Linked DNA regions of Styela clava. The protein of the gene in region 1 purifies or fractionates together with the protein of each later gene. This does not show direct contact. Links are inferred from orthologs where the notes say so. Each region holds a gene or a part of one and is shown on either strand. Other genes may lie near its edges.

Region 1 (7,254 bases):
ATACTATCATATATTTTTTGAACAACTTCAATCTAGACCAGGGATCTCAAACTCGCGGCCCCAGAGAACTTCCAGTGCGGCCCTCGAACGCTTAACAATAATTGTAATAGTATTTTGGAAGTTTTTTTTTTATCTAAATGTAATAGATTTTTCAAACCTTCTAAAGTGAAATTGATTATTCACACAGAAAACAATTTACTGAAAGTAGTTTTGGAATATTAATTTTTTTTGTCCACATTTTGACCCAATTAAGAATACACATCAAGCTAGCAAAAGAATACTTGAATAAAACACTTGAGTAATTAAATTAAACGCAAAGTACACGAAGAAGGTGGCATTTTCGAAGAAAATGGGAGTTGTAACATTTCTGCTCTTCACAAAATTCTGAAGCACATTGTTTAATTTGTCATATTTCCATCAATACAATCAAAAAACACAATAAGCTCAGCAGTCAATATGACAAATTCGAAGACCAACTTCGAACAGAAAATTTCCATGTGTTTGTATATTAACCCTGCTAAAACGCTTAAAAACAGTGAAAAACCTTCAAAAAACACCAATAACCCTGCTAAAACGCTTAATATAATTATACAACGACTTAGTTACTAAAAATCAATATCAATAATAATTCAAGCAATCCTATGCCACGCAAGGTAGTGCGAAATGTCTTGTCGAAAAAATCATTTCAGACTGGCCTTAGTATGCTGGTGACACAAAAAAGATGCCAAACGCCAGGACGAATGTAATTATTAAAACATTGAGTTTATACTGTAGTATTTTTGTTAATTTTAGGTTCATATATTTAGATTAGGTTATTTTTAGTGTATGTATTATTCTTTCCTTATTCAAAGCTTGTTCAAAAATGATTTTGATGGTTGTACATAGAATTTTACGATTTTTTATAATAAATACTGTAACTTGCAAATGTTGCAATAATAGTGGAATGCAAATATTAATATGTAATTGCATTTGAAATTGAAGGAAATAATAAAACTTAATCCAACTGTTTAGTTGCATCACAATATATGAGCTATGTTCTATGAACATTTGTTCTTTTCTTTGTCTTGAACTTTCCATACTCCACAGCCCCTATTATTTTTTTTTAATTTTAATTACCATGTGATGGTCATACATATCTTTAACTTGTATTTTCTGTCATGATGTATTATCTCAATGTGCCAAACTATTAATTTGTGTGCATATTTTGCTTCCAGATGACATAAATGTATTGTCATGTTTATTACCTCAGCTTGGAGTATTGACAAGAAAAAGGTGCCAGTAAATTAGGTAAAAAAATTTTCAACTCATTGTTATAATCAGAATTCACAATCAATAGGAATTATAAACAGCCAACAATCAGTGAGAATTATATGCGAAATCCCTCAGAATAAATTTGTCTAAAATCGGAGGAAGGCAAAAAATATAGGTAGTTTCCATTCACACAAGCATTTCAAGAAGACTTGCTCGAGCCAAACTAAATGAGCATCGTCAGGTGATCGGTAAGGCTGCAAGTTGAATTCAGCCCTGCAACCTCCTGCATAGAAGATAATATTAATTAGTGGGCTATGAGCTAAATTCCTAAATTTAAACAAACCTATCTACGATGCATTATGTACCAGCAATGTTACCTACGATTAACTGAATATGTAATATGTCTAATAAATTCACATACAAAAGCAAGTTCGATAGGTGCAAACTTTGTGTTATGGAATTGTATCGCAGCACAGTTTTGTATGACACCCTCTTTAAATGAAATTTCAATGATTAAGCGCAAACATTAAAATTACTAACTTTGAACTTTGTCATTATCTGCAAAATGTTCCACACAAATCTTTCCGCTATCGCGTTTGTAATCTTCTCTGATAAAAAAAAAACGTCTATGATGTCCAGAATTGCTCTTTACAGCTTGCCTGTTATTCCAGCTTTCCAAGTAAGCAAAACTTCTTAGATATAGAGATTATTTTGTTTCGTTACAGGCGCAAAAAGGCAGGTACTACACGTAAAAAAGACGCCGAGTAGCAAAAGCGAGCGGAAAACGGACGCGAAAGGCGACGAGAAATATGTGCATTGGAGCGTATCATGAAATACAATGTTTTGCCTGTAGTCTTATGGAGTGACGTCAGAGTTGCCTATCATGTTGTTTAATGTCATTGATGTGACGTAGCAACAGATTTGATTGACACTTGCTCCATTGAGGTCTTTGTTCCAATCGCAGAATCGGGTCAGAAATAAGTTCAGGAGTAGACTTAATTTTATTTCTGTTTCATAAATCGATAAATGGAAGAATGGCGATTTTAGTGGTTTGACGAGAGTTATGAGTTTGAGTTTACGGTAAGTGTTACGGTACAAAACGAATTAGACAGTGGAGGAAGAGGATTTTCATGGAAATAGTTAACTTAACGTACGTACCGGTACCTACCGGTATTTCTGTATTTGTTTCATATGCATACCGGTATACTTGAGACGCTTTCAGACATTAACGTTAAAATGCTTTAAACAATCAGTTAGTTATTTTTGATATTCTGCCCAAAACACATAAAAATTTCGGCGCATGTTCACTAAACGCCATAATACAGTACCGTAATAAGTAAGGTCTACTTCTAGTAGGCCTACTTCATTTTTGCATATAGTATTCTTAACCCCCACCTGACTACGTCATCCATATATTACCTCAGTACGACGTCACAATTACGTCATAGAGCTTGCCAAATAAAAGCTATAATCGCCCGAAATGGCATCTCCGCTGACGATAACGAACTCGCTAACACTTCGATCGCTCTCATACAGTCATATCTGCATATAGCAGTACAGCAGTATGGGGACCGTTACGACGAGAAAACGAGAGAAATAATTTGATTGATTCCGGGTGATCGTGTGCGCGTTTTGGACGACCATCCGTATATTTTGGCGGGCTTTATTATGTCACTATGTCGTTGTAGTGACATAAATTTTGGATGTCGTAGTCAGGTGGGGGTTAGGAATAATGTATGAAAAAATTGTTTTGCCATGCCCACTAGAAGTTATTGGGGTACAAAACTACACAAGACCCTGACATCTGTACATGGCCTAAAATGAGGTTAAAACGTTGAACAGCTGCAGTGTACCGAGGTATCTTTTTGTGTTATATCATCAGAATCATTAATCACTTCAAAGCTAAAATACAGAAATACAAGACTGGGACTAATAAAACGGAGTCAGGGAGTCACAAAAAGTATTTTGTTTTATCAGTTTAATTTTTTCATTACTAAATTAGACATAAGACCCGAATTCTTATAAGATTGAGAACAACCTAATTTTAGCAAAATTTCTAACCATGAAGATCCATGGACGTGTGCTCATCATGCTAAATGATAAGGCTAAGACCCATAATAATAAGACATAAGACCCAAATAAAAAATATAGCCTAGGAAAGTTAAGCTCGACCTAATTTTAGCACAATTTCTAACCATAAAGATCTATGGACGTGTGCTCATCATCCACCCACAGACTCAGCAGCCAAGGGTGTAATAAATGAATTAGGCACTAGACAAGATAAGGATGTGTTTTCATCGCTTCATTGGCCTATTTTTAGCCCAGGCATGAACTATTTTATAGTTCTACAAAGTCACTAAACAGTAAGAGGTAATTTACATTATTACTTATCGGTTTTAATCGGTAAGTATGTTGATAGGTATTTGTCTGTATGTTAGATGCACACGATATCTCACGAAAGTGAGATTGAATCTGCTACAGATTTTGCATGTGCATTCATCATATGTCGGACCAGAAGCCTATTGATTTTGGATGAATTATGTCGTATAATTAGCGAGTTATTAATTAATTAGTGATGGGACACAAGGTGTCACTATGGAGTAAGAGCGCTGTTTTGGGGATCCCCTAACTTTCGATCGATAAATCTTCGGTCTCTGCCGATATTCTCGTTTTTGTATTACTTTGTTTGTTTGTATTCTCCAGGGCTGGGGAGCTGGTTTGAAACCACAGTCTGACAGTAGCTCCAACATCCGTTATTTCTTTACTTCTGAGCTCGACTCCGGCTCTATAGCCAATAAAGTTTTTTGGTATGACCACTACCAAACATAAACCCAAATGTAGTTTAATGGAGGCGGGACTTAAAACTATAATATGGTGGTTTCAAAATTTAAATATAAATATATTTCACTAGGAAACTTTCAAATGGGTGTAGATTTTAATAGTTATATGAAGCATTAGAAAATGATACATATGAAAAAATTAATAGATAGTTAGGGCTTGTGTTGCTAAAAACTTCCGCTCTATCTAATATGGTAAGCTTGGATCCAACTCCCAACAAAAGTTACGACCTTGGCTCCCCAGCCCTGTAACCTTAATAATCCCAGATTCTTCAGTCTCATACACTCAATATGATCGATTTCTACTAATACAGGGAACACATAAATCAATAAAATACAATCACTATTTTACTATCTATCAACCATGGATGATCTTGAATATGATAGTGAAGATGAAGTAGAGGATGAAGATTCTGATTGGGATGAGTATCAATATGATGAGGGAGTAGAAGATGACCACCGCAATAAAAACTCTGATGGATTAATTCCATTTTCCACTGATGGGAACATTAATGATGGATTTGCATATGACAGTCTTACCCCGGATGGTGTCGTGGATTTAATGAATGTCACTGTACACGAAGTGGCTGAGATTATACCTATGGATAAAACTGTACTTAGAATATTACTCGCACATTTTAAGTGGGACAAAGAAAGACTTTTTGAGAAGTATTATGGATGTGAAGGAAATGATCAGAAATTTTTTGACGATGCTCATGTCGTTAATCCGTTCTCCTCACACCATCGAAATGCTTCTAGTCAGTCCGGTTCAAATGGCGATATGACTTGTGAAATTTGCTGTTTACCTTTTTCTAATGATTTTATGACTGGTTTAGCATGTCATCATAAGTTCTGTAAAGGCTGCTGGACAGAGTATCTTCGCACAAAGATTATGGATCAAGGAATGTCACAGACTATAAGTTGTCCTTCATATGGTTGTGACATTGTTGTCAATGATGAAATTGTTATGAACTTAATCAGCAGCAAGAAAGTTAGATTGAAATATCTCCATTTGATATCTAACACATTTGTTGAATGCAATTCCTTGCTGAGGTGGTGCCCAGCTCCAAATTGTCTCAATGTTGTTCGAGTTAAATTTTCTGATGCAAGGCCAGTAAAATGTCAATGCGGTAAAGAATTTTGTTTTAAATGTGGAGAGTCATGGCACGATCCGGTACTATGTATGTACTTGAAAAGATGGATCAAAAAATGTGATGATGACAGTGAAACATACAATTGGATAGCTGCCAACACAAAAGAATGCCCAGCATGTTTTGCAACCATTGAAAAAGATGGTGGTTGTAATCATATGGTGTGTCGAAGTGTCAGCTGCAAACATGAGTTCTGTTGGGTCTGTCTGGGACCATGGGAGCCGCATGGTTCTTCTTGGTACAATTGTAATAGATTCAAGGAAGAAGATGCTAAAAAGGCTCAAGATTGTCAAGAGAAATCACGTCAGGCTCTACAACGGTACTTGTTTTATTGCAACAGATATATGAACCATCTGCAGAGTTTGCGTTTTGAACACAAGCTTTATGCGCAAGTGAAAGTCAAAATGGAAGAAATGCAAAAGCATGGAATGTCCTGGATTGAAGTGCAGTTTCTAAAGCATGCTGTTGATGTGCTCTGCCAGTGTCGTCAAATGCTAATGTACACTTATGTTTTTGCTTTTTTTCTCAACAAAAATAACCAATCCATTATATTTGAAGACAACCAAGCAGATTTGGAGAAGGCAACAGAAGTTCTCAGTGAATATCTAGAACGAGACATAACCACTGATGCTGTGCAGGACATTAAGCAAAAAGTACAAGACAAATACAGATACTGTGCTAATAGACGGAAGCTGCTCCTCTCCCATATTTATGAAGGATATGAAAGTGATCTGTGGGATTTTAATGACAAAGTATAAACTGTTTTGTTATCATATTATGCTGATGAATACTTTATATGCACATTGTTTTTGCCTTTTTCACATAACTAGAAATGTGTCATACCTAACTGGGTGACTCAAAAATATTGCTATATAAGACAGCCCATAAAATCCCCAAAGCATACAAATTCATTAATATGCACATCATGACAGTTTATTGTAATATGCGAATAAAAATCAGTTTGTATCTGCCTATATGGATGGCTATATGAGATTTTTGGCAAATTGTTAAAACGTGAACAATTATAAAATAATCTTGAAGCAAGCAAATTTTTTAAGCTACAACGTATAAAATGCTCATTCACAAACATAATATCTACCTTACTTCTTTTTATAAATGCTTCTCATACGGTCTACCTACAGTTTGGTAGCGGCCAACAATGCGATGGGCTGTGAGGATGATCGTATTTAAATAAATCATTAGTCTAGAATCTATAGTTTTCTGATACTATTTATTTCAATTTCAACGTGTTACATGTTTTAGAACTATCTAATCTGCCTCAAAAAGGTTGAATATGGTGGATATTCTGTTTGTTGTTCAGCTTTTAACTCCATTTAAAACAAGCGATGGCTGGCAAATTCTCAGTTCCTATACACAATATATTATAGACCAGGGATGGTGAACCTACTTTGTTGATTGGGTCATACATTATTTTTTTTTACAAATAAAAAGAATGTCAGCCATGCATTTACATTGTTTTAAACTATAATTATAATATTACCAGAAGGTTACGCTACTGCTTTCCAAGCTTAGTTTGTAAATTTGTAGGAATACGATAATGGATACCCTGAAAATCTTCTTTTGGCCCCGTTAATGGACCTACGATAGAATACCACTGTCTTAAACAGAACGACTTGCCACGAATAGATTCAACCCTGTGGGAGTTTCGGTTAATCGTATTGTTATGATGTCATAACAGCATTATTGCCTGCAGCATACTAATATACCGGAACTACTATAATAATTTATAATTCAGGATGAAATTAATTATTACAAAATTTTTATCATATAACTGTTAGTACCTTCTTTGCAACACTGAATTTTGACGGGTTGCTGAAAAATATTGCGGGTCAATTTGTGACCCATGGGCCAGTTGTTCGCCATCCCTACTATAGAGACTAACTTGATCTGTTTTGTGATCGTTACTTGAGCTGTTTTTTTATAACTGTAATTGAATGAAATCACCCTCTTGTTGGATATTTGTTGGTATTTATTTGAAGAAGATTGACTGTTAA
Region 2 (8,204 bases), on another chromosome or scaffold:
GTAATCTCGAGGACTGACTCAGGATTCGTACCGCGGGGATTCCGAGTCGATGAATATGTATTTTAATTGTAATAAATTAAGTATACTTTCTGGGATATTATACTGGATCTTTCTAATGGAGACGACGAATTCGCATGAGTGCAATATATATCAAAACTAAATACGAGAATATCGGTCGGAGACCGAAGACTTATCGATCTTAGATCGGTAATTAGTTGATAACTCGCTAATTATACGACATAATTAACCCAAAATCGATAGGCGTCTGGTCCGAGGTAAGGTGCATGCACATGCAAAATTTGGAGCAGATTCAACCACGCGTTCGTGAGATATCGCGTTCATCTAACAGACACACACACACCCACACACAGACATACAAATACCTATCAATATACTTACCGATCTTAAGATCGATAAGTAATAATCGGGCAGTTGATCACACTTTAATATGTCCGCGGATTGGCGTGATATTTTAGATCGGTAATGAGTTTATTTTGACATGAGTCGCCGCAACCGCGAGTTACCCTGAACACAAATGAATTAAAATAGAGAGACATTTTGAATTCTTGTAGTTATTACGAGACAGAAAAATTTATCATACCACGAAAAAGCCGGTATTTTTACCGAACGCGGAGACCGTTACATGTAAATTTACGATTCCATCTCATGACCTCTCGCCCCCCAAGTGAGCATCTCGCACCCCCCCAGTTTAACAACCACTGGACTAGGCAAAACTTATTTACCGGTACTTTCAAATAACAGATTGCTGAATGCTATGAATCAGAATAATGGTTTGAAACAAATACCCCATTTTACAGGCACTAAATCGCGAAACCTCTCTTAAAATAAACACCAAAAATGTTGCAATGGTTTTGTATGGACCTTTCCCCGACCTTTGACCGCCGAAAAATTCTTCCTATACTTTACCATTGCAAAATTTTCAGTTTTTTTTTAAGAGTGCTTTACGAGTTGGCGCCTGTAAAATGGGGTATGTGTTTCAAACCATCATAATGATTCATCGCATACAACAATCTGTTTTTTAAAAGTACCGGTGGGGAATTTTTAGCCTAGTCTATCACAGCTATTTCTACACTAACTTTTTATTACTGCAATTAAATTAAAACTCCTAGGAAGACAGAGTGATCATTAAATTATCTGATTTATATTTAAGTTCCCGAAACACAACTAAAAACTTACGAATAGAGTTCAAAAACGCGAAAACGAGGTAATGTTTAAGACCACGATTGAAAATCTGTCTCAGTGAGAAAAGTGTCTGAGCGGATGCGAAAAGGTAGTATTGTTACGTCACTTTTTGCATCTTGCTGATTGGCCGATGCCACGAAAAAAACAAGGAAGTCGATGTTCGGGGAAAGGTCCATAGGAAGAATTTCCAGCGGTTCAAAGTTCGGGAAAAGGTCCATTGAGTTAGCTATTTCCGTGTCCAGGTGCTGTGGCTCGGTATTCAAATTGTTTCATCAGATTTTCTATTATTCAGATAAATACCAAAAAAACTCCAGGCTATAGTTAATGGTTCTAGGCCCGGTCAGTGAAGGTCCTCTGATACAGTCCTATGCCACGTTAACTATGAGTATTTTAGTACAGATATAAGTTCTAGAAGGGCTATCAATGGCCGCTACTTTATTTTTGCAATATATTTGCACCCACTTACATTTGTACCGGAGGAATTTACACTCACAGACATTTATACCCGTCACATTTGCACCCACGTACTTTTACACCTAAGGACATTTGCACTATGGGGATAATCTTGTTATTTTAGTAACCTTTTACTGTTATTTTTCAAATCAATAATATGAATCGTCGTAAAACTAGTCAATTTAGTTTTCTTAAAAATATAAACCACCACAACGTGTTTTGTACTGGTCATAATTGATTTGAATAGCCCCAAGACATTTCTTAATGACAAACCAGTTTTAATATAATTTACCTATGTTCCATACTTGATTAGTACATTTTCATCTATTGGTAATCAGCATATACGTTACTCAATATTACTGATTTTTTATCCTTTCGGACCCGACTGGATCATTCATTTGTTTTGCGACCGTATCGTTGTACGATTAAATGCTAATAATAAAGACATTGCCTCGTTAAAGTGTGTCAAACAAAGACTTGGGGAGACTGAACAGTCGAGGCGCTACAGTTGATATTCGTCGACGTCTGGTGACAGAGGAAACATCCAACCAACAACAAATTAGCCTGAAATATATTATTGAGGCTATAGCACCTACAAATATTTCCACCCATAGATTTTTGATACCACAGACATTTTCACCCATGGATAATTGCACCCGCGAACATTTACAACCCTATGCATTCCCATTTGTGCCGTGGGATAAACATACTAATGAGTATAAAGTAGTAATAAACACATAAACGTTTAAGTGGGCATGTCAGTTACAGATATATAATACATGCCATGCATCCAAGAAAATTCACATCTATACTTTTGATTCCGCGTGCATTAGACAATAATAGACAATTGCACCCATCACATTCAGATCGACAGATTTTAGCATTCACATACAAATTGGATACGCAACCAAAAGCATTTGTACTTACGGGCATTTCCACGTGACGCGAAACAGCTCGCAACGGTACACACCATTATGAAGTAACAGTGGACATTTCCTCGACCATCGACTTCCTTACTTACTTCGTGACATTGGCCAATCAGCACGATGCGAAAAGTGACGTAACAATACTCCCTTTTCGCATCCGCTCAGACACTTTTCTCACTCAGACAGATTTTCAAGCGTGGTCGTAAACATTACCTCGTTTTCGCGTTTTTGAACTCCATTCGTTAGTTTTCTGTTGTGTTTCGGAAACTTAACTATAAATCAAATAATTCAAACAGCATTCAGTCTTCCTAGAAGTTTTAATTTAATTGCAGTAATACAAAATTAGTGTAGACATAGCTGTGATAGACTAGGCTAAAATTCTTTACCGGTACTTTTGAAAAACAGATTCTTGTATGCGATAAATCATAATGATGGTTTGAAACACATACCCCATTTTATAGGCGCCAACTCGCAAATGCACTTTTAAAATAGCTCCAAAAATTTTGCACTTGTAAAGTTTAGGAAGAATTTTTCGGGGATCAAAGGTCTGGGAAAGGTCCATAGCAATGTAACAACTTGATTACCACAAATTGTACTTTCGCCAAGTCGAGGTCGTTTTCTCTTTCCTGAGTGATCGGTCTATATTTCTGAGTGAGTGAGCTTGGACTAATCTTAAGCTGGTTTTCTTATAATAAAAATGCTTCTGTCCGTAAATAAATGCTACCGTATTTAAATGCTGAGAATTTCTGAGTGAGTGAGCTTGGACTAATCTTAAGCTGGTTTTCTTATAATAAAAATACTTCTGTCCGTAAATAAATGCTACCGTATGTAAATGCTTCTGTGCACATCTGACTTCAGTGTGAAGTCTGAGGAATAAATAACTTGATCCATCAACGTTTTTGAGACGTCATTTCATTTTTTGGACTCCACAGTTGCATTTCTTGCTATGTCAATTTTCTTTTTTCACCAGCGCAACTTATACGACAAATAGAATCTTTGTGCCCATTAAACAAGAATTAAATTAAACAAGTCCCCTGTCGTGGAAAAACAAAGTTTAGGTATTCCGGCGTATTGTGTTTTTTTGATTACGTTACTTACACCGTAAATATATGCTTACACTCTTGTTGACATGGTTTCACCTGTAGCCCGTTCATGAGGCACGGGCAAACGACGGTGTATAGAGGGCGTAGTGGCGCAAGGGACCAATAGGATTCTTGCAGAGTAAGGTTTGGGTTTCACCAATGACGAGAAGGGGCTTTCTAATACACCTTTGAAGTGATGTGGGGACATGTATGTAGCCTATTGTTAAATCTGTGGTTCTTTTTCCGTGGTTTTACTAAATATCTTTTTTCACTGTTGACTCTTATTTATAAAATCGTCATCCAATTTGACAGCCGGTGTGAAAATTATTACCAGGGTGTCCGTAATTTTATTTAAACATTTGCTATTTCTGTATTTATTTACTACCGGTACCGGTATTTAGGCTAGTCCAGTAGTCTGCGGATGTAGATCTAGATCTAATTCATCTGAACTGTCTCCATTTTTCTCACATTAATATATCTGTGTGTGTTTTATGTTACAGTGTTCGGCGCGGCGGTGTGGCTCAACGGGCTAAGCGTTAGGAATACCGGTACGCTCGCCACCGCACCTCTAATTACTCTGCGTGGGTTCGCAGGTTCGAATCCCATGCAGGGATGGTTATGTGCGAGAGGATTGCTGGACTCCTCGCCGTCGTTGGGTGGTTCACGTAACCGCTGGTCGGTTACGGTACGGCTTCCTCCACCACCAAGTCCATGCTTCCGAAAACAAACAATATAACTAATCCCATACCCGACTTGGAATGGTAACCGGACGAGAGGCCGTGGTTCGCCATCTGGATAAGCCGTCTTATCGGCTTTCCTCTCCCCCGGGATAAATACTGAAATATGTAAATCCTATCCTAAGTAAACATGCAGACTAGCATACCACTTTATTTCTGTATTTTGGCAAAACCTTCGAACTTAAATTCTGTACTGATACCGTACCGTACCACTGGTCTCCTGATTCAGTGATTCTATAATCAGTTTTTATTTATTTGTTTTTATCTGTATTGTCTTGTCTGTTGTGCTGATCATAATAAATAAATAATACCTCTTTTCTCTGGGTATCACACATAGTACAACTTCAAAATCTACAATACAAATATACAACAAGGTTGAAATATCTGAATATAGGCTAGCATTAGTTATACGGTACTGTTATAACATTCAAATTATAAGTACACTGCCAAGGTATGTCAGTACTGCAGTACCGTACAGCAGTGCCGTATGTCAGTATGTTGCTGATAGCTGGGCAACTGTCCACACCTTGCACCTGTATGTAATTTTATTTACCGGTAATATACATCTGTATAAACTATTCTCCCAGAACTCCTTACTGCCTTAAGTAGTGTTTACGGCATCTACAAAATCTACACTGCTATACCCTCTGCTTGAATGCTGAACTATGTCTTTGAAGCCAAGATCTGTTGATTTCAATTCAACATGGCTGAAATTGTCAGCAACAATGAACAATGTCGTTACTTCGAATCCTGTTCAACGATCAACATGGAATGAAATGTTTATGTATCCTTTATCAAATATTTAAATGTATTGTATTTATCTAATATTCAGATAATAAATAATCCTGTATTCCTGTTATTAATCAAGAGCTGGGGATCTATTTCCAACTTATATATTATTTCTAAATTTCATTTTCTAATATTAATTCAAAAGTTTTAAGTTGGATTTATGTATTTTAAAGTTTAATTTTGTAATTTGAAACCTTGACGCCCCAGTTTTAGTCCCATTTTTTGCGAAAATTTGTGTTGTTACATTGTAATGGTCAGACATACAAAACCTCAATCGCTATGTAGCTGGAGCCGGAGCCAGCATAGAAAAATGAAGCTCTGGAGCCGAAGCTACAGTGACTCCCCGGCCCTGCTATTTATAACTAATTGAATCAAAAATAAGTTTCTTCATTTGTTTTAAATTGTAACATACCGGTAATAATATATATTTTAACTCTATCTTATTATGGGATTTTATTGTCCGTCATCCGATTTGATTCTGCTTGCCTGTATTACTTTTTAAAATAATAATAGTGCAATCGCTTGGGCCCTTTTCAGGGTTGTTCCGAGTCATAGAGTTTTAATGTGGTAAGCTACATCTTTAAATTAAGTTATCTTCCTTAATTATTTTGCATTTACTGTATAAGGGATGTCTATGCATTGTGCATCGCTCGTCCTGAGCCATTGACAAATGAACTTTATTCTGGAATTAAAGAATTTTTGGAGCATCATGTTTCACAACTATATGAGGTATGAAATATGGTAATGCTTAGAAAGATATTATAAACTAATTAAAATTTTACCAACCCAGAGTCTGGGTCATGGATAAAAAGAAATGTTTGTTTTTTATCAGTGTACGTCTTATATATATCACATGTATTCTAAATACCTATTTTTGCTATTCAGAAAATGAACGCATCTGAAAATCTCTTGGGACAATATTACAAGTGAGAAATTTATTAGTATGTGTAGTAGTATTAGTAGTGTGTGTACCAGGTTAGGGTTAGGCCATAGTTTATTTCCGATTTATCTTTTTTCAGTTCTATTAAGAGTTCGGGGACTGTCTGTGTTAGCCAAGTGAATATACTTTCCCCATAGGTTTCAGTCCCATCACACAACTTGATTTAAAGTAGGCGAACAAAATTAGTTACCTCCATATTGGTATACACACTTCTGGAGCGCCAAGATTTTATCTTAAAGTTAATTCGTTAATTTGTACATTTTTCTGTTATAGATATTGGGTGGAATATAGCAGAGGAGCTCAATATCTTGATCAGTTATTCAGATATTTAAATCAACAACATGTTAAAAAATATAAACAAACTGCGGCTGATCTCGATTATGAATTTTCATTCGATGTGAAAGATCCAATGCTGGAGGTTGGAGAGGTGAACATACATTTTCAATTACAAATCACAGTTTTTTCTGTATATTCGGTAGTACGTAAAAACAGTCATTTTCAAAATATATCTGGTGTATTGATTGTATAAAAATAGTCTTAGTTGTGTTGTTCTGAATACATTCAAATTTCAAATACCATGTTTCACAGTATTTGATGCGGAAATGTACATAAATATGTGCATTGTTAAATATGGTATGTTTGTTTGTTAGACATAGAAATAATTGATTTTATACTAACTTTAAATGATACCTGTAGAAATAAATTAGTGGAGTACTTTTTAGAAGAAGATATGATGTATATAATTTCATGTTTTACCACTTCGATACTAACATGTTTTTATACAAGATGTCACTTTTTTTAAGTTTGCGACTGTCGCCAAGTCCAGTCCAAAGCACCAAATTACTAAAATGCTTCTATTTGCTTACCTTAGCTTGCTTTGGATATATGGCACACGGTTATGATAGAAAAAGTATCAGACAAACTCGTTGAACTTCTTTTAAATCTTATTGATGAAGATCGGGCGAAACACACTGTGGACAAAGCCGTAATAAATGGAGTTATTCAGTCGTTTGTCTTGGTCAAACATTATCGGAGGAAGCAACCTTTGAAGGTAAGAAATAATATTGCAAAACTTTAGTGGAAGAGGCCCAATCGATGAGTCATGCGTCAAACAATTAATAAGTCATTCTAATTTGAATATTTGATGTTCAGAGTTTCATAAAGAGAAGTAAATAAATATGATGCATTGCCATTGACAACAGAATTTGTTATTTTGTCTTTGAAGCAAAAGAACCTAAATTATATAATAAACGAAAGTGTGACTACCATTGAACTCAACTTTCAAGTATAGGATGTTTTCTATAATTATGCATTACAGCCGGTTTTATCATCAAATATTTATCGAGGTAGTTTATTTTCATGCTGCAACTGGAAAATAATTATCAGCTTACGATGTCAGATGGGACTTCGCCAGTTAATTGAAACAAAAAAAGTTTGCATGAATCAATAGCAAACTTTTTTAGCAACCACGAAGATGACCATTTTATTTTATTTTTCTTCAGCTTTATGAAGAATGTTTTGAAGAGAAGTATTTGGCAAGATCTGTCGAATATTATAAAATGAAAGCAAGTGAATTCATTGAAAGCGAGGATTGTTCACTGTATATGGAAAAAGTGAGTGAATTTTTGTGGCATATCTAAATATTTATTTTTTATATGCAGAATGGGATCGAATATATATGCTGCCTCTTCACTTGTAGATTGATTGTTATTTCATTTTAAGTATCAAGATGGTATACTTGATTTCCAATAAATGATTTTTATTTCATACCTTTACTCTCTGCAAGGCGCTACAAACAGTCACTGGTATGTAAGCATCTAATGTTTATTGAGGACATAAATCTTTCCATTTAGCCAATATCTACCCAAAATATTACATCCTGGTTACAAGGTGGTTAGCATATGATTGAATTTGGGACCTTTAAGGCTTTTAACCTCTCATACCAACGTCATCTAATCCTCTTATCATTATTCATTCCAGTGTGACCATGAATGATTTAGGTTAAATTCAACCAATTTCGAATTCAGAGGTCTATTGAACGAGGTACTACGTACTGTAGATTTTTCAACTTGTG
Region 3 (7,422 bases), on another chromosome or scaffold:
GACAAAAAATTGTTCCTAAAAAAAAACAAGCTTGGTAAATAGATTGAATGTTCCATAGCAGTCTATGCATAAGTCATGGATTGGGGTATCGAGTTATTTTGTCGTTTTCGATTAGTTCAATTCAAAATCATTGTATCCGTTCCAATGTCGAATTTTCACGAACGACCACCATTCCAACAGGTGCAGTGGTCCAATCTTTGCTGCGCTCCGTTCCATCATCCACAACCAGTTTCATAAAAAGATCGAAACCTCGCAATAGACCCGTTACAGATCGTCCTCCATTTAACTTTGAATCCAATCTTTTATTCATATACTCCATTAATTCCGATGGATGGGCTTTGCTCTTGTTGATATGACGCGATACAAATACCGAAACATACAGCGCGTAGAATTCTCTAGTCTTTTCAGCAGACACGTCCGCACCCGACGACCGTCGGAACGGAGTAAGTAATCAGTATTAACGGTATATTCGCAAATTCATTTACCAGATTTTAACTGATCATGCGGAATTATGTATGTATGTATGTTTATTCGTCTCGTAATATTGATAACAAATAAATGAACGATTATTATTATTTAAGACGGGATGCATGCACAAGACCGTACCGGCCTAAAACACAAATGTGCGGCATGCACCCTTTTTGACAAATATAAAACAAAAAACATATTAAATATGTATAATATGGTCCCTTATATAGACAGTTGTGCAATGTGGGGCAAAGGATCATTTGGTGTGGTGAAAGTGGTACGGGTGGTGTATACAAAACTCTTTATACAGGGGAGCTTATAAGACAGGGATGGCGAACCACTGACCCGCGGGTCACAAAGTGACCCACGTCGTTTTATTCGTGACCCACCAAGGCACGAATGAAATAAAAAAATGCTAACATATCAGTGCTAAAAAATTGATAAAACCGGCCTTAAATTATTAACTATATAAAACTATAAACTAAACTATAATGTACCGTCAGTTGGGCAGTCAAGGCTGCGATCGCTCATATTCGAATTTATATTTTCGGGCCGGTATGATAATTTTCAAAACCCCTAATCTTTGACGCATGTCTGCACCGCTGTGTACCGTTATTCAGCTATTGGCTCTGACATCGTTTATGATATAACAATGCAAGCGATCTGTTCATTTTTCGCAACGCCTTGTCTCTTTCGGAAGTGCACCTGCATGCTTTTTTAGGGGTTATACGAGAACTAGATGCTACTTTGCATTTCACTAGTTTCTCATCTACAATGCCGCTGAGAAAACAAAATCTTCCAGACTTGAAATAAAAACCTAGAATCCGAAATACCAATGGGGCAGTGTAAAAGTGCTTTAATGTGGTTGGAAGCAGATCGAAAAATATAACACTATCAGAGTGGAATTCCCTCTAAGAGTCTAAACTATTTGGTACCGTAAATAAATTTTCCCCATCATCCTAAACCTTTTTTGGTAATTAATATGCGGGTTTTCGTACTCTAATTTCATGAAATCGAGTGCCATAAAAAGTCCATAATAGAAATGCTGCATTATCCTAAAACCACACCAACACCAACAGAAGCTTACAATATTTGATTCAGAAGTTTCTTATAGATACAAACATTGATTAAATATCTGTGACCCACTCTCTTCTGTTCCGCGATAAAAATATAATTTTTGACCTATTCATCGGAAAAGGTTCGCCATCCCTGTTATAAGACAAGACAATATATATAAATGGAGACAACACAGCACCAAATAAACATATACATAACAATGAAATCAAAATTTAGGCGTAAATACAGCGCCTTTTGAGTGGTGAGACCATATAGACATAGTATGAATGGGCGAAGTATAAGAGATAAATTTGCGGTTCTTATGCTTATATTGTATGCGTCACTCAAGGGTGCTAGTAGAGTATTTGATAGAATATATCTATTTCAGCAAAAATGTGAACCATACAGATTTTGTTGAAATACTTCAGTTCGAGTGTCAAATTCTTAGGTATCCTTGTTTTATTTATAAAATTGAAGCCGAATGTGGTAAAAATTAAAGGAAAAATAAACTTAAAGAAAAGCATTTCAACAAAGCCTGTCATGATTGCATTTTTTCCAGAAGAAAATAAATGTATAAAAGTACTATTGAATTAAGGCTAACATTTTATAAAAAAGAAGCATTGTTTCCATGTCATGGATTGCCCTAATTGTATTAGGATCACAATAGAGTAATGTAGTTTCATGGGGGAAGGAAGAGAGGAATATATTTGATTTTGTGCCATGACCTATATGAGAAAGAAAGGGCCCAGCATGCTACTTTGACAAAGAGAACTGTTTCTATTGATGGCTGGATTCAAATTTGATGTAATTGTAATTTATTATCTTTAATCTAATTTGCTGTTTTTATTGTCTTTGTCTAATTAAGCATGATAATAAGATTAGAAGGGTGAGTTAAAATATTAATTCAGTTCATTGTTTCGTATTGCATTCTGCTGAGGTAGCCTGCGGAGTTTGAAATCGCCATCTACTGGGTGGTGATCTGATATCCTTCGGAGTTTCCTGTTGGTACTTCCAATCCAAATAGTCTCTAGTAGCCCATCTTAGTAACCGAATTCCCTAGAAAAAAATAAACTCCGAAACAGTAATATGTTCAAAACAAAGATTTTGGTTAATATGATGATAACAAATGTTGCATAAGTTTGGAACGAAATTCTGAATTTGATTATTATATCTACTTAAACTCTAACCCTAACCCAAATCAATCAAAACTGTAGGTGACCGTACATTTGAACCCACGTACATTTGAACCCATGTGTATATCCCCGAGTTCAATCTATATACAGGTGCTACCCATGGGTTAGGGTTAGTATGGATTCAAATATCCACAAAACAAAAAAAATAGTAAAATAGTAAAATAGGTGCAATAGTATGCAGGTGCAATTGTCGTGGGTTCAAATGTACGTGGGTTCAAATGTAGGCCTACGGGAGCCAAAACTGTATCCATAAGTAAAACGTTCCAACTTGCCCAATATTTGTCACCATGAGGAGTTGTTCGCCATATGATTATTAATCCGTCTTTTTTATCGGTTTTTCCATCCCCCGTGATAAATATGTAAAATCCTATCCTTCACGATCCTGTAACATAGCACTTTACGACAGTGAAAGTGAAGTTTTACAACAGACTTGCGGTGTGTTGTTTGGTGCAAAGTCACTTTGGTCTGGTGTTGCTACACTTGTCACGTGACGCGACGTCCAGTAGGCTGTACTTGCCGAAAAAGCGTTTGTTCTTCGTTGTTATGAACCGTCGAAACTGCGGGCGCGTTTGTCGTTTTTCTCGGCGGCCGTTATGTATCTGCATAATGATTACCGGTAGATTGTTTGTACGTACTCGTATTAATGTGTGTTTGTTTTGGTTGGAATATTCTAAATATAAGTCTGTAAGTATACCGGTACGATGTTGACAGAGCATCCGCGGTCGGGTCGTCTTACGAAACCGGTACCGGTACGGTACCGTACGCAAGAACGACCTAATCTAACATTGACACTTGACAGCCTGGAAATCGCTTTCTGTTGGTTTGCTGGTGCGAAGTAAACGCGATAACTGCTTGAATGATACCAAATAAGAATGTGATGTAGAAACAGTACCGGTACTGGTACCGGTACCGTACCGATAGTTGAAATCTGTATTTGATTACTCCGCGAGGGTTCACGGGTTCGAATCCCATGCCAGGATGATTACCGTATATGCGAGAAGATTGCTGGTATCCTCGCCGCTGTAGGGTGGTTCACGTAACCGCTGGTCGGTTACGGCGACCTCCACTATTAAGTCCATGCTTCCGAAAACAAATACGGTACCGTAACTGGCTAACTAATCCCATACCGGTATCCAGATATCCGACATAGTCTGAAAGAGGTCAACAGATATCTGGATATTAAGTCTATGCATCTGAAAACAAATAACTGGCTACCGTATCTAATCCCCATGGACTGGTACGGTATCCGGACGAGAGGTTGTGGTTCACCATGGGGTTAAGCCGTCTTATCGGCTTTCTGCTTCCCCGGGATAAAGATGTGAATCCTATCCTAAATTTAACTCTGCAACTATGGACAGAACTGAGCAGCATAATAATCAGACAACTTAACAGTCGTTATCTGGTAGACATTTCTGCATTTATATTGATTCGAGGACAGCTAATAAATCGTACTGGAAACATTAGGTACCTGTTTCAATATAGTCTAGTACATGTTATGAACTTTTCATTTTGTAATTTCAGGCAAATATATTTAAATAAGCGAGTGATATAAATAAGTGATATCAGCAAAAATGCCTTCCATCAAATTACAAAGTGCAGATGGAGATGTTTTTGATGTAGACATTGATATTGCCAAACAATCTATGACCATCAAGACTATGTTGGAAGATCTAGGAATGGAACCTGGTGATGACGAAGAATCAATTCCATTACCAAACACAAATGCCGCAATCTTGAGAAAGGTGGTATATCATAATTATAACTGGGTTTTTTAATTAATTTGTAATATTTTTTCATATGAATTTTTCTGTTTTTGGTGCTCCGGAAGTATACGTACGAAGATGGCGGACACCGGAATATAGTATGTGTACCAGGTTAGAGTTAGGCAATAATTTCAGGTACAAATACTACGGGAGTCACTCGGCTAGTCCTCGAACTCGTAATAGCACTAAAATAAGAAAAATTGGAATAAAATTATGGCCTTACCCTAACCTGGTACACATAATACATTCCGGCCACCGCCATCTTGGTACGCATACTTCAGGAGTACCGAATTTTTTCTGTGAAGGTTTCAGCACTCCTTTAGCTTCCAACTTATATTTGAGCAAGTTAAATTCAATTTGTTACTGTCATATGGGCTTAGCGATATAATTGGTGGTGTATCATCGATAATTGATATTACTGTATTATTGTAGATTGATATAGGATAGGATTTACGTATTAATTACGAGGGAAGAAAAGCCGATGACTCGATCGGATAGCAAACCACAGCCTTCCTACCGGTTACCAGTTCATATCGGGTATGGGATTGGTTAGATGAACTTGATGGCGGATAAAGCCATACTGACCAGTGGTTATGTGAACCATCCTGCGGCAGCGAGGAGTCCAGCAATCCTCTCGCACATAACTATCGAGTGGAAGTGGTGACTCCTCTACAACCCATGGGCCAGGGCCACGGCCCATCAGGCTATGGGCCGCGGCCCATCAAGTTGTGTAAAGGGATAAAATAATAAAGACTAATAAATATGTAAATTCTACCTAAATCCTACCCACTCCCTGAACTCATAATAGAACTATAATGTCTGAATATGAAAAATCTGAACATAATTTTGTCCTAACCCTAACCTGGTACACACACTTCAGGTGTATCCTTTTCTGTAGCTTGGTATTTTGCTTTATTTTTATGAAAAGGCTTATCGCAGGAAAAAGGTTTGGTGGCATGCCGCGATTTTTGTTTGGTTCCAATATTGACAATTTTGTAAAAATTGAAAGTTTTCTGATGGGCCGCGGCCCATAGCTTGATGGGCCATGGCCCATGTGGCCCAATTAGATGGGCTGTGGCCCCGGCCTATGGGCCGTAGAGGAGTCACCACCCCTGTAGTAACTATCCCCGACAGATTCGAACCTAGGCAGGGTAATCGGATGTGCTGTGGCAAGTGGGAATTGCTAATTCTTAGCATGATAAAGCGACGCACCGCATAAATAGGCTTACATTCTCACATTTTGGCTTAGTAACTATCCAGGCCTAGTCATTATCTATGCATGTTTTATGATGAAAACATTTTTTAACTCTTGATTATACTAGATGGTACTGGAGTAATGTGGGCGTAACTGGTTGATTATATACTATTTGAGTTGTGTATCATGAGTAGGAAATGGGTTTTTGAATAATTATAATCACCAATTAGTTTTATAGATCTCAATCTGAGTTACTCTTAGTGGCTAATCTATTCTCTTGTTAATTAAAATTGGTATTTATCTCAGATTAAAGTTAGTTAGTTAAATCAGTTAGTTAATAAAAATGCATCTCTAGTGTACAAAACAAAGCAATGTGAAATACATTTTCCATCTCTTTTATATAGTTTTCTTCTGTTCTGCACTGTTTCTTCCTGTTAAGTGTTATCATCGATTCATTGTGTTGTCAATTCAGTCTTATTCAACAAAAAATTTATTTTGATGTTGCAATCCAGGTATTACAGTGGTGCACACAGCACAAAGATGATCCCCCTCCACCAGAAGATGATGAAAATAAGGAAAAAAGAACTGATGATATCCCGGTTTGGGATCAAGAGTTTTTGAAAGTTGATCAGGGAACGCTTTTCGAACTCATTGTGGTGCGTATTAATTGTCATTTGTTAGTATAAGTTATTTCGACTCCATAATCAGCATAACAATAAAATTATTGATAAAAACAAATAGATAAAAACTGAATATGAAATCAGGAAAGCAAACAAGACCTTAGATAAGGCTTAAAACTTACAGAATGTAAGATGAAAGGTTTTGCCAAGAAGAAGTGGTACGTGTTCACTCACCTAAAATTATTATAATTATTTCACACAGGCACTCACCACACACACACACAAGCACAGAGACATTATTTAAGTAAAAAAGAAAACACGATTAGCTTAGGGTAAACTACACATGGTGATGGTTGAATGTTTCGTCATCAAATATCTGTGTATTATATAAACTTTGGGAGTACCAACTTTGGATTGCATTGCATTAGTCAATCTTTCAAATCTATCAATCAATTTCATTTTGGTTGCTCTGGCATAAAACAAAACAACAACAAACCGACAAACAAAATGCAGAGACACCTGGAAGACAAGCATAACCTAGGTTCAATTGGTTTAAATATTACAAGTATCAACCTTGTTCTTGGTTATTCTATATGACCTTACTCGTCTATAAATAAAATACAGACAGGACGACAGGAGAAAACATTACTAAAATACCTGATGCTTTGTTATGAAACATTTAGTAACATTTAGCATATAAATTCACTAACATTAGTCATTACTAAAGATTTGCTTGAGACAATTTATATTTGTTTAAAGCAGTGGTTCCCAACCGCCGGTCCGCGGACCGGTGCCGGTCCACGAAGCTTTTTTGCCGGTCCGCGAGAAATTTTGTTGTTTTTATGCCGTCTCAATCGCTTTACCGTATACAAAGTTTTTTTTTTGTACTTTGTAGCCTACCGTATACAAAGCTGCGTTGGCTCATTACGCAATTCTCTTCCGCCGTCATATTGCGACATCTTGAAGCCGTCTTACGCGACATCTTGGCGCCGAGCATTCACACTTTTCGCCTCCGATTCATCGCGAATGCGCTCCATCAAATCTCGCAAAATTAAGAAGCCTCAAAATCGGCATGCGTGCTTTTTCTGTTCTGCGTGCTTTTCCTACTTAATATGACCATCCATATA

What was found.
Region 2: the proteins of E3 ubiquitin-protein ligase arih1-like (region 1) and cullin-2-like purify together in Homo sapiens (affinity purification with western blotting; 3 studies listed by BioGRID and IntAct, with this or other methods). This does not show direct contact. The link is inferred for Styela clava from reciprocal best matches to the Homo sapiens genes ARIH1 and CUL2.
Region 3: the proteins of E3 ubiquitin-protein ligase arih1-like (region 1) and S-phase kinase-associated protein 1 purify together in Homo sapiens (affinity purification with mass spectrometry; 4 studies listed by BioGRID and IntAct, with this or other methods). This does not show direct contact. The link is inferred for Styela clava from reciprocal best matches to the Homo sapiens genes ARIH1 and SKP1.

What each region holds. Positions count from the first base shown.
Region 1 is NC_135257.1:11,826,132-11,833,385, forward strand, and holds E3 ubiquitin-protein ligase arih1-like, read left to right. Parts: upstream 1-4,368; 5' UTR 4,369-4,452; coding exon 4,453-5,997; 3' UTR 5,998-6,651; downstream 6,652-7,254. UniProt on the Homo sapiens protein: E3 ubiquitin-protein ligase, which catalyzes ubiquitination of target proteins together with ubiquitin-conjugating enzyme E2 UBE2L3.
Region 2 is NC_135263.1:12,286,166-12,294,369, forward strand, and holds the start of cullin-2-like, read left to right. Parts: upstream 1-4,919; 5' UTR 4,920-5,066; coding exon 5,067-5,185; intron 5,186-5,816; coding exon 5,817-5,919; intron 5,920-6,075; coding exon 6,076-6,116; intron 6,117-6,403; coding exon 6,404-6,557; intron 6,558-7,001; coding exon 7,002-7,181; intron 7,182-7,632; coding exon 7,633-7,743; intron 7,744-8,204.
Region 3 is NC_135260.1:7,446,098-7,453,519, reverse strand, and holds the start of S-phase kinase-associated protein 1, read left to right. Parts: upstream 1-4,236; 5' UTR 4,237-4,288; coding exon 4,289-4,459; intron 4,460-6,187; coding exon 6,188-6,331; intron 6,332-7,422. UniProt on the Homo sapiens protein: Essential component of the SCF (SKP1-CUL1-F-box protein) ubiquitin ligase complex, which mediates the ubiquitination of proteins involved in cell cycle progression, signal transduction and transcription.